Caenorhabditis elegans: one gene and its partner. The protein of the gene in region 1 interacts with the protein of each later gene in a pairwise test. Each region holds a gene or a part of one and is shown in the gene's direction. Other genes may lie near its edges.

The links.
Region 2: the proteins of aqp-8 (region 1) and erm-1 interact in a two-hybrid assay, tested with the Caenorhabditis elegans proteins (one study listed by BioGRID).

The regions. Positions count from the first base shown.
Region 1 is NC_003284.9:4,701,389-4,706,639, reverse strand, and holds aqp-8 (Aquaporin-9), read left to right. Parts: upstream 1-1,669; 5' UTR 1,670-1,671; coding exon 1,672-1,773; intron 1,774-1,821; coding exon 1,822-2,080; intron 2,081-2,440; coding exon 2,441-2,559; intron 2,560-2,968; coding exon 2,969-3,076; intron 3,077-3,130; coding exon 3,131-3,376; coding exon of another isoform or gene 3,377-3,427; exon of another isoform or gene 3,428-3,675; intron 3,676-3,781; coding exon 3,782-3,837; intron 3,838-4,063; coding exon 4,064-4,166; 3' UTR 4,167-4,517; downstream 4,518-5,251.
Region 2 is NC_003279.8:5,284,436-5,292,281, reverse strand, and holds the start of erm-1 (Moesin/ezrin/radixin homolog 1), read left to right. Parts: upstream 1-1,587; 5' UTR 1,588-1,646; coding exon 1,647-1,664; intron 1,665-1,763; coding exon 1,764-1,847; intron 1,848-2,088; coding exon 2,089-2,289; intron 2,290-3,963; coding exon 3,964-4,118; intron 4,119-4,440; coding exon 4,441-4,600; intron 4,601-4,648; coding exon 4,649-4,831; intron 4,832-5,570; coding exon 5,571-5,750; intron 5,751-5,832; coding exon 5,833-6,180; intron 6,181-6,713; coding exon 6,714-6,819; intron 6,820-6,896; coding exon 6,897-7,063; intron 7,064-7,591; coding exon 7,592-7,684; 3' UTR 7,685-7,846.

The DNA.
Region 1 (5,251 bases):
ATTTATTTGGGAAATATTAGAGCCCAAATTGTGATTTTTATTGCTCCGTAAGGTTTTCAAAGTTTCTTGCATTCTTAGAAACGTTTCAATAAATTGAGAGATGTTATCTGAATTGGATGCTCGCCTCCTATTATGACCTCTGCTAAAGATGAAAAAAATTTCAAAATTATTTTCAAAAAACCAATTTTTTATTTTTTATTTTGAGTTTTCAATTAATGCTCTTCCATATTTCAGATGCTGACAAAAATTATGGAAATCTTATCCTTTTCCGTGTTCCACTTAAGGATGTTTCGTGTGTTCCTGATGCATTTTATCTTTCACTTCATCAAAGTTATCTCTACAGCAGCAACCTCAAAACCTCAATTAGTCACGAAATTCGTCAAATTTGTTAGCCACCAGATCAAGATTGACTTGATATCCAAGAATCCGCCATAACATCAGGAACAATTCTAATATTGGGCTGGAAAGTTTTTTTGCATCTTCATTCAACGACCTGTACTTTGAGTTATTACATGTGACCTTCAATGGTTATTTCTATCAATAACCTTAAATACACATTAAAGATAATGAAAAATGACTTTTGATATCATAACTTCCGACTACAAGATGAGAAGATCACATAAATTATTAAGGTCGAATCTCAAATGTTCGCCGGGACTTTCAAATGTTTCCAGATTTAAAAATTATCTTATCTGTCCAAAAAATCAAATTTCACTTCTTCTAACGACCTTCATGTTATATTAAATTTTTGTGAAAGTCAATTTGATGATTTCTAAAATAAATTGAGAAAAAAAAAGAAAGATGGGTATCTATTTTTGCGCAATCTTTGAAAGTTGCCATTTCCTGCAACTTTGATAACTGATGTTCAATGTCATTTGATTTGGGTTTCGACCTTTATTGGACGCTTCAATTCCATGCACCTGACTTCAGAAGAATCGGAATTTATTGAAAAAAAAAGTTCCGGGACAATAAGACGATTAAAAATAGTTTTTAGTACTTGATATTCCTAACAATTGAAGTTATGAATTGGATAATGCTATCACGATGTGCAAAGGCGCAAACTTGCATTCCAGAGTCTGGTCCAGACAACGCATAAAAATATGAATGACCTGTCGGTGTGTGAATTCATATTTTGCACTCATTATTATTCTTACGAAAAATAAACATTCCTCTGAACTAGTTGAATCCGAACTGGAATTGAACTTTTAGATGTTGCGCATAATTGAATTTGATACAAAAAAGTCATGTGAAAGGTATTCGAAAAAATTCTTTGAAAATTTCCAAAAGTCATTTTAGACACAATTAGGTTATAGCCATGAAAATGTAACTTGAGCACCCCTAAATGTTTATAGTAGTTGTATATGATTCACTGTTGAATGCGTAACCGCAAAATGATTGCCAAAATTTGCATACTGGAATTGCGAGTCAATCAATCTGGATTATGATAAGTAGTTCCCAAACCCAAAAACTTTTCACCCGCCTCTGTTTTATCTATTTTTCGTGTTAGTAGAATATCAGGGCCTACCGTAACATCCCGCCCATTCTGAAGTTTCGACAGTGTCCACTTCCCTATTTAAAATCAGCGCACGCCTTCTAGATAAGGACATTTTCCGTCCATTACCATTTCTTTTTTTTCTGCGATCCGTTTCTATAATTTATTTATTTTTAGATATGGGTGTCTTTCAAGACAAAGTTGCCAGTATATTGCGAATTGAAGATCAACAATTCACAAGAGAGCTCTTAGCAGAATGCATTGGAACCTTCTTCCTCTTGGTAAGTTCATACATTTAGGAATAAATCTGAAAATCGCCTATATTTCAGCTTATCGGAAATGCAGCCAACATTCAAGCTGCTGTAGCAGTTGGTGGTAACTCAACGTCTTGCCATATTGCCTGGGGAATCGGGTTCATGTTCGCAGTCTATCTTGCCGCCAGTGTTTCTGGAGGCCATTTGAATCCAGCCATCTCCGTCGCACAAAGCATTCTCGGAAATCTGCCTCCATGGAAGATCATTCCATATGCCATTGCTCAAGTTATTGGAGCATTCCTCGGCGCAGCTGTTGCCTATTTTGGACATCACGGTTAGTTTGAATGAGTTTGTTCGTGTGAGCATTGTGTGAATTAGCTGTGAAATCTTGATTTCTGCTACTATGAGTGATATAATTAGGTTGAAATAATTGTGGCGCTGGATTCTTGTCAAAGATTGGACTAAAAATAATAAATTATCTGAAATATTGAAAAAAAAATTAGGAAAACCTTTAGCTAAGACTGCGCACAAGATAAACTTGGAGCGCCGAGAACCTAGACCAAGCCTGCCAAAGGTTTGCCAATATATTGGCAACTTCTGATCCATGTTTATACATAGTTAGGCCCATACATGGGATATAATGTAGTCCATTGATCCTCTGTAAGTCATCAGTTTCAAATTATCCAAATTACAGACGATCTGTGGAAGCTGGACGGCGGCATCCGTCAGGTGACTGGAGGTCAAGCCACCGCTGGACTGTTCACCACGTTCCCACCGGATCACATGTCAGTATGGGGAAGTCTTCTCGACCAGGTTAGTTTATTTTTAGACCGAAACGACGTTTTTAGGAACGCGGTTCTCTTTCAATTGCACATCTAAATTAAGCGCGACACACTATGATTGATCCGTTTGGTAATTGCTGACAGATCGGTTCAACTTTTTTTTTTGCAACCGCCCTCTAAAACATAAACTACATAAGACAGTGGTTTGAGTTACTTGGTTTTGTCGATCATCAAAAAACGAGATCTGATTGACTTTTCTGTAATCAAATTATAAGAATTAAACGCGAGAACACTTCACGCTCCTTTTCTGCTTTTCTCAAGAACACTGCTGATCAGAAATCAAAAAATGACATTGACCAATTTGAGTAATTGAGGTTGCTGACGGATATAACATAACACCTACTGATTTAATGATACATCAAGTACATTCTCTCTTGCAGATTATTGGAACAGCCATGCTGTCTGGCTTGGTCTGTCTTATCACTGATAAACGCCACCAAATCCCGACCGGTGTTGTTCCTGTTCTTGCTGGAAGTATTATGAGCATGGTATGCACTTAATGTACACATCTCACTAAAAGTTTTATAATTTTATAATTGCAGGTCGCAATGACTTTTGGAGCTAACGGCGGATTTGCAATCAACCCAGCTCGTGACTTCGGACCACGCGTTTTCTGCCTCTGTGCCGGATATGGCTGGGAAGTTTTCAGCGCTCATGGATATTATTTCTGGATTCCAATTGTTGGTGCTCTCATCGGTTCGATCATTGGAGCCTGGATCTATAAGATTTTCGTAGGACTTCATGGAATGAATGAGAGTCTTGACATTCAACCAGCCAAAGGATTTAATGTTAGTGTGAAAGTTGACAGAGAGTATAGTGACAGTAGTGGAAGCTATTAATTCTGTGAGCAACTGTTATAAATTGCTTTAACTAATTTCAGCCCCCTGCTCTTTGGGAGCCTCCAATTATACGTTTCTAACACAATACACACATTTGTTACCTTGATACTAACATGCAAGTTTGTAATAATATTCAATATGAAACCTGTCAATCTCGATTTCATTTTTTTATTGGTTTTGCATTCGCATTTGGTTTTGTTTCAATTTGGAAAGACTGCAATTAATAAATAATGTATATACATATTCTTAATTTATTTTTTCATTTTATTTTGCATTTTATTTACATTTAGCATGTTGAACAAAATGAAACAATCTACAAATCAGGTGAAAGATAAAGAAACAATAATGTTGCAGGAAATGCAGAGAAATTCGGAAGGCATCTTGATAGGATACGATAACACTTTGTCCAGGTGAGAAGACCTGTCCAAGGATCAGTCTTTGTATAACAGACAGCAACAAAGTCTGCGAAATTTGATCTTATTCGTGTTGGATTTTATAATATCATTGATCTTTTTATCGATTATATTACACTTTTCGCACCGAATTTACATAGCCTAGGACAATAATTTGTACTGGTCTAACCAACAAATTATATGTTTCATTCGACCACTACCAGGCACCATATCTCGTTTCCAGGGCCCGCGGCGGAGAAATTGCAGCACCAAGAACATACACTCCCAGCTATCAGGTTTTTGAATCTAGCCGTACGCAAATTACAACAGCAGACCGTCGATATTAGAGTACTGGCTGTATTGCCCTCCCCCCCCCCCCACCACTCATTTCTCTTTCATTTTATTTATATTGTCCAGTTGTTTCGATTAGCTCTTGATCCACACACTATACCCCGATTGTCTTCATTCTGTATGTGCCTATTCTTTCAACGAACTTTGTTTTTCCTACACGTTTTAATGCCTTGCTTTGTCCAACAATGTTTTTGGTATTTATCTAAATGTTCAACTTGCGTTCAATGCTCCTCTGATCTTTATCTGAACTTTTTTCCTATTTTAATCTAACATGTGAACAAAAAAAGATACTATTTAATTAAATATTGCTCTTAACAGTTATTAAAAAGAATACATTCTGACTATTAGCAAAAACTACTGTTTATTCGGAATTAACAGGTCATTGAAAACAAACAACCAATGTGTAAAAAAAATAGAACACTGCTCTAGAAACCCTTCCAGGTTTTCAACTTTTTATAGGAAAATCACAAAGAAACACCTGATAACATCATCATTTCTATTTTGTGTTAATTTTCATAAACTTTTAGTAAATATTTATATTGCACTTTACAGCCTCACTTGTGAAAATGTTTTGGTCTACTTTTGAATAATTTATTTAGGCTCATAGTTTGTTTTTCAATAGACCTTATTTTTATAATAAAATTTTACCTCTAGAAAATGAAAACTAGTATTTTTTAACTTTTCTAAAATTTTTCAAAAATTTCTCATTCATGCCATACTAATAAAGAAAAACAATTATTTTTCAGAGTTATTAGGAAAACTGATTTATGTACATATTTTTCAAATCGCAAGTACACATTCTCGTTTTTCTTTTTCACTGCTCTGCAAGCAAAAAATAAAAGCAATAACTCAAATTTCGGTTGCAACTCGATATAACTTTCCACTTAATGTGCATGCTTGATCTTTTATTAGCGTCATAGGCAAATGAAAAAGATTATAATTTATAACAATTGCAAGTTGTACCGATAGTTGTGAATAAGTTTTGGCAATTTTATTTTCAGAAATCTTGTTTTATCAAGAGGTGCCTGTTCTACACGAGTACTTTAACTATAAAAGTTCAGAAAATTGAAGGTGCCTTCTT
Region 2 (7,846 bases), on another chromosome or scaffold:
TTTCCCACCGATTTTGAGCATTTCTTCAAATGTTTCAGCTAAAAATATGTTTCATTTCCAGATAAATCGAGTGATTTTCGATATTTTGACACTAATTTTTAGTGAAAAACGTTGGAACAACATAGCCCAATAATTTTGTAGAATTGCCGGAAATAATAGCCCTGTACCTGTAAATCAAAATCAATATTCCCACCTGTGACACATATTTTTCTGAATAATTTTTTGATTCATGAAACTTTTTCTTTAAAATAATTAAAGCATTAAAAAAAACTCAAACTCGCCAAAACTCCCAAGAAACTGTCCAGGCACCCGAGAATCGCGCCAACGCCCTGCTGGCGCGATTCTCGTGCAGTGGCAAATCGCAGAACGCGCCAAAAACGGATCCGAACGGGTTTGAATCAGACGATGACTCATTTTTTATTGTTTTTCGAGTTTTATTGATTTTTTTTAATCGCCAAATGTATAAATCCCCCTAAAATATACACAATTTTCCATGTGTCACTTTGAATTTTCGGATAAATGATTGAAAAATTAGATTTCTCTATTCAAAATTTAAAATTCATAACCTTGAACTCATTTGTTTCGTTTTCTTCGCTCCGTTTTCTGATTTCTCATGAATTTTTGAAATCTCTGTTCATTCGAATTCTATTTTCACATCTTATTTTACTTTCTTGCAGAAAAAAGTGACGAAGATTTTCGGTGGAAAAGTTTCGTGAATTCTCACCGCTCACCCCAATCCATCTTCGACTCGGACATCAAAAAGAGCTAAAATAATGTCGAAAAAAGCGGTAAGTTTGAAAAATGTAGCTTCAAATAATTTAAAACTTTTACGGCCAAATAAAAAAAAACACTGTTTAAATTTGCGATTTTCTTATTTCTTTCGGAAAAAATGCCGCCATTAATTAAAAACAAATGGAAAAAATTTGAAACTGTGAAATGTTGAATATTTCGGAAATTATGTTCTGTTCAGCACGACTTCTGCCGATTTTTTTAAAAAATAAGAATCTATCGATCTAAAAATATACTCTGTATTTTATTTTTCACTTATAAGACTATAAAGAGGCATATTTCTGCAAAATGGACTCATTTTTGAGGTTTTGTTGAAATTTTCGAAAATAGAGGGTTTCAATACCATTTTGCATAAATGCGCCTCTTTTTAAACATATAAGTGGGAAATAAAATACAAAACATATATTTTTTACAAAATTAATTTAAAAAATTTTAGAAAACAATTCAGATTTTTACGCTTACGAAGTAGAGCCGCGAACAATTTTGAACTCGAAATAAACTCAAAATTGATGATATTTGAAATATCATTTCATTCTTTTTTTTTCTGCCGAAACTTCTATGAAGAAATGCGCACATGTATGTGTGCAAACCGACAAATAGGCGGAGCCTGTACAAAAACGGGCGGTCTATAGTTCTTCTCACTCCGTTTTTGTGCTGTATACAGGGAGAGAGAGTGACAACTCATATCATTTAGTTTTAGATAAGAATTTTAAATTCTCAAGTTTCACTCTTTTTTTTATTTTGAATTTCTGATTTTCATGCAAGATTTCTTATATCATTTTACTGAAAAATTTTAAGCTAACCTCTTCATATCAATTGGTCCAGCAGTTCAAACTTGTGGAACACAAAATAGAAAAATGGTTGCGGCCGGCGATGTAAATTGTTAATTGAAAAAATTTTTTTTAGAAATTTAAGAAAAAATATAACGAAAAATCGATTTTATTTTTGCCTAATCCAACTATTTCTTGTTTCAGATCAATGTGCGTGTCACCTCGATGGACTCGGAGCTCGAGTTCGCTATTCAGTCGAGCACCACAGGAAAGCAACTTTTTGATCAGGTTAGATGATTTTGTTTTATTATATTTAAAAAGTACTTTTTTTATTAAATTGGAGAATGGATAAATTTTAATAATTCAAAAAAAAAATCAGAATTTTCTGAAACATTAAATTTTCACTAACCATTAGAAATTTTAAATCAAAACGATTTAAATTTGAAAAAAATAATCCAAAATTTCCAGCTCTTGAAATTGAGTTTCGAATTTTCCAGCAATATTAATTCCTTCATTTTAATTTTTGCAGGTTGTCAAAACCATTGGTCTCCGCGAGATCTGGTATTTTGGACTTCAGTACACTGACAACAAGGGATTCCCAACATGGCTGAAATTGAACAAGAAAGTCTTGTCTCAGGACGTTAAGAAGGACCCGACTCTTGTTTTCAAATTCCGCGCCAAATTCTATCCGGAAGATGTGGCCGAGGAGATTATCCAGGATGTCACTATGGTATGTTTGACACCTTTTTTTAAATATTTAATTTTTTGGAAAAAAAAAACTGTAAATTTTCCATTACCTCTGGCCAATATTTGATTTTTAGTTGTAATTCTCACTTTTCGCTTTTCTGACATTCTCTGGCGACTCTCTTGATTTCCTGTGCTATTTCTGATTTGTAACTGATAAGTAGAGAATGCCCGTGCCATTTATGCATGTAATGCAATGTTGGCAAGCAATAGGAAATAACTTTGGAGTATATTCAAGAATAGAAAAAAAGGGGAAAATTTTGGTAAGGAATACATTTCTGTGGTTTTAGAGTACCTTCTTACAAGCTGGCCTGCTTAAAAAGACCCCAAAACGACCAAATTTCAAAATGAAATTTCTCAAAAAATGCCCGAAAATGAATTAAAGCAGTGAAAATTCTGAAAAAAATCCGATATTTTTTCTGTTAAAAAAATCCGATATTTTTGCTAAAATTAGAATAAAGTTTTTTATGCCAGTGATAATTCAATAAAATGGCATTCCGATTTAGGAAAATTTGGCTCTTTTTTGAGAATTTTGGCTCGCTATAAAGAATTTTTGAATTTTTTAAACCAGTTTTATTTGAGCAAAAAAAACTCTTCTGCTCAAAAATTTCCACGGCTCATGTGCTCACAAGGTCCTCAATAAACTGCCTAAAAACAAAATATTTTGATGGTGACAAGTGTAAACATGGGCATTTTCTCCCTTCCGTTTCAAAAAAAGGTTCTCCCATTGAGAGTGTGGTTTCCGATTACCTCCGAGCCACTTTTTTGTCTCACACAAAAAGAGATTGTTTAATGGTTTGTAAACATCGATGGGAAGACACTGTGTGTGCGAGACTCTTTTTTTGAGAGGAGAAATGAGCATCCTATTAGAACCTCCGACTGCGAACAGGAAATCTCTGATCTGGGTGGTCTGTTTTGTTTGAATAGGATCACAAGATCAGTTGAAGATTTCAGTAGAATAGCTATTTAGTACCTATATGCAAATTGATTTAGTACCTATATGCAAATTTAGATCAGTTGTTAAAATTAATGTAAAAATTTCTTTTTTTTTTAAATATAGAAAAATACTTTTATTTCTATGAAAATAACATTTTTCAGTTGAAACATTTGAGAAAATGCACAAAAATGGTCTGAAAGTTTCTAATTCACAAAAAAACCTTTTTTGAGCACTTTCTCAAATGATTCAAAAATATAAATATCACTTCCGGTTAAGTAAATTGATTTTTTCTCTTTTTTTTAGATTTCCAATAATATTTCGCATTTGAATTTGAATAGATAGACTGACTTAAATTCTGTTCCGATGACTCATATCAATGGAAACAATGAAAAAACTCTCAGTTTGTTGCTGTCTCTTTGCTCTTTTTATATTCATGTTCATAACTGACATAAAGAGGAAGAGGAGAATGGCATGTGTGAATAATCAAAAAATGATTCAAAACGATAAATATGAGGGGAAGAGAATATAAATTGAACTTTTTGCAAAATTTGCAGAATTTTTTGTTTGGAAGAGGGAACAATTGGGTTTCAGAATCATTAGTTGAAAATGGAGTATGGTTTTTTAAAATGTCAGAAAACAATCTCAATGTACAGAACATACAGTTAAAAAATTATGAAGTTTTTTAACTGAAATTAAGCCTTAATTAAATGAAAATATTTTCAGCGTTTGTTCTATCTCCAAGTGAAAGATGGAATTCTGTCAGATGAGATTTATTGTCCACCGGAAACCTCTGTTCTTCTTGCCTCTTACGCGATGCAAGCTAAATATGGAGACTATGTTCCAGAGACACATGTCGCCGGATGTCTTACTGCTGATCGGTGAGTTTTTCTTGAAATTAGCTTTTAAAAAAATTATTAATAACTATTAAAAAATATCTTTGCGGTTCAAAATTCCAATCAAGATTACTAAAATAAGAAAAATAATAATTTTCTGCGATAATTCATTTTTAATTATGTAGTGAAATTTCACAGTATCACAGTACTCATACAATTCATAATTATCACATGAAAATGAGATTAGAATAAAGAAGGGAAAGTTCCAGATCTAGATGATCAATAAAAAAGTATATAATAAGAAGTAGTTAAAAAAAAGTAAACTTTTTATATTAAATGCCAAAAATAATTAATTATTTCATTCCAGTCTGCTTCCTCAACGCGTTCTCGGACAATTCAAATTGAACAGTGAGGAATGGGAACGCCGTATTATGACATGGTGGGCAGATCATCGTGCAACTACACGTGAACAAGCTATGCTTGAATATTTGAAAATTGCACAAGATCTCGAGATGTATGGAGTCAATGTACTGTTTCTCATTTTTCTGTCGAGTTTTAAAAAAAGCTAATTTCAGTACTTTGAAATCCGCAACAAAAAGGGAACTGATCTCTATCTTGGTGTCGATGCTCTTGGATTGAATATTTACGATAAAGCTGATCGTCTTTCGCCGAAAGTCGGATTCCCATGGTCGGAGATTCGTAATATATCATTCAACGACAAGAAATTTGTCATCAAACCAATTGATAAGAAGGCTCATGTAAGTGATTACTGTCACACACAGTTTGTCGTGGCATCAAGCTTCTATTTGTTGGCAAAATTTCTGCGGAAAAAACGGAAAAATTGTGTGATAGTAGTTGGAAGTGGTGGTGATAAGAAGCAATCGATGGAACATTGAATTTTGATTTAAAATTTTTTTGTTGGTTTTTCTTATTTTTGGGGTGTGAAAATATCACAATCATTGACCAGATGCGGAATGTTGCGATTTTGAGGCAAAAGTATGGTGCCCGGTCTCGGTCTCGACACGACCGAATAAATTTATTTACCAAAATGGTGTGCACCTTTAAAAAGTAGAGTAGCTCCAGGCCTTTCTGATTTCCAACTTCGTTAGATTTTTCTAGTTTATTAATTAATAAAAATTAGTTTCACTAACAAAAGTAAAATAAAAGGTTTTTACAATAAAAATATTTAGAAAAAATCTATGAAAATTTCAAATCAGCTCAACGGTAACTACTGTACTTTTTAAATGCGCACATCCTTTTTCATTTAAATTTATTCGATCGCCTCGATATCGAGTAATGTGTTTTTGTATCAAAAATCGCAAATTTCGAGATGGATGGAACATTTTGTGGAAATTGAGTTTGTTGTAATTTTTCTGAACATTTTTTCCCCGATTTTTTGATTTTAGAAAAATCGAAAAAAAATTCTTATTTTCGCTGAAAAAAAAATCGAAAAAATGTTTTTCATTATTCGTCTTCATTTTTATCATTAATTTTCAGGACTTTGTCTTCTACGCTCCACGACTCCGTATCAACAAACGTATTCTTGCTTTGTGTATGGGAAATCACGAGCTTTACATGCGTAGAAGAAAGCCAGATACCATTGAAGTTCAACAAATGAAGCAACAAGCCAGAGAGGATCGTGCTCTTAAGATTGCCGAGCAGGAGAAGCTCACCAGAGTAAGTTGCGGAAATTTTTGAAACATGTTTTTACAAATAATTTCTAAAAAAACTTTCACTCAAATCTGTTTTGATCGTACAGGAGATGTCTGCTCGCGAAGAAGCCGAACAGCGTCAACGTGACGCCGAAAAGCGTATGGCTCAAATGCAGGAAGATATGGAGAGAGCTCGTCTTGAATTGGCTGAAGCACACAATACAATTCACTCATTGGAGGCTCAACTCAAGCAATTGCAATTGGCTAAACAAGCATTGGAACAGAAGGAATACGAACTTCGTGAGCTCACTGCTCAACTTCAATCCGAAAAAGCAATGAGTGATGGTGAGAGACGTCATTTGAGAGACCAAGTTGATGCTCGTGAACGTGAAGTTTTTTCGATGAGAGAAGAAGTCGAGAGACAGACTACTGTTACAAGACAACTTCAGACACAGGTATTTTTTATTTTTGAAACTAAAATAGAAACAAAAAATTCTCTTTAAAAAAATTATTTTAAATACCGTATTAACAATTATCGAGCAGTAATTTTCAGTCTGAAATTACTGTTTTAAAATTTTAAAATGAAAAAAAGTATGCAGTAATTCCTGAAATTAGTTGATTACTGTAACAAAAAAGCTTAATTTAAAAAAAAAATTTGCAACAATAAAAGAGATACAAAAAGAAAAAACTAAAAAAAATTGTGAAAGAATAAAAAATCCGATCTTTAAAAGCGAGATTTTTTAATTGTACGCAGTGATGTTGCAACAAAAATTTCGGCCAAAAAACAAACAAATTTTGTTTAAAATTTCTCCAAAAAACCAACAAAAAAAAACAAAAATGTTCATTTTTCGTCATACCAACTAAAACATAAAATTTTTGATAAACATTTTTTTAAATGTTTTCTTGTCCGAAAAAACCAAAAAAAACGGAATCCCTGATTGTAACTCTGGATTTATTTTATTTCAAAATTATTTTTTCTTAAATTCAGATTCACTCGCAACAACACACTCAACACTACTCAAACAGTCATCACGTTTCCAATGGACACGCTCACGATGAGACTGCCACTGATGATGAAGATAATGGAGCAACTGGTATGCCTTTTTTATTTATTTAAAATAATTGGGAGAGATTATGAGAAAAAATATCATCTTCAAATTTTATCTTCCAGAACTCACAAATGACGCTGATCAGAATGTGCCACAACACGAGTTGGAGCGTGTCACAGCAGCCGAGAAGAACATTCAGATCAAGAATAAGCTGGATATGTTGACTCGCGAGCTTGACAGTGTTAAAGATCAGAACGCTGTCACTGACTACGACGTTCTGCATATGGAGGTTCGTATTTTAAAAAAACTCGTTTTAATGGATGGTTTTAGAGAATTTAGCATTCAAAATTTACAGTAATTTTCTAGAACCTGCATTTTTTTCATAAATTCAAGTTTTAAAAAATATTTCCGGACTGCGATCAAAATACAATTTTTTAAAAATTAAATTTGGAAAAAAACAGAAGAACGCAAAAATCTTTAAAAAATATCGAGTTCCGGATTATTTTAAAATAAAAAAAATCATTAAAAATCATTAAAAAGCCATTAAAAACAAATTTTGCTTAAAAATAATTTTATGATATTAAAATTGTTTGAAGTACAGAAATTGAGTTTTTTCGGTGTTTTCTGTTTGCAGACAAACCGAAAACATTTCTGAAAACATTCCAAACTCGGTATTTCCTTTACGGAAACAAGCAACATAAATTTTACTTATTTTTGAACAAGTTTGACCCTAAATTTTTTAGATTTTTTGAGCGAAACCGAAATATCGAAAAACCGAAAAACCTGCCGGCCCGATTCCAAATTTTTAAATTTTCAGAACAAAAAGGCCGGACGCGACAAGTACAAGACTCTCCGTCAAATCCGTGGAGGAAACACAAAACGAAGAATCGATCAATACGAAAATATGTAATTATTTGTTCTATCGTATTTCCTTTTATTTTTTTAAACAATATTCTCAATTGTCTCCCACCAACTTCCAAATGCTCATCATCTTGGCTCTTTTCTCCCTTTCTCGTTTTTTTTATAGGACAACAATTATTATTATTATTAATTTGAAAATTTATTGGTTTGT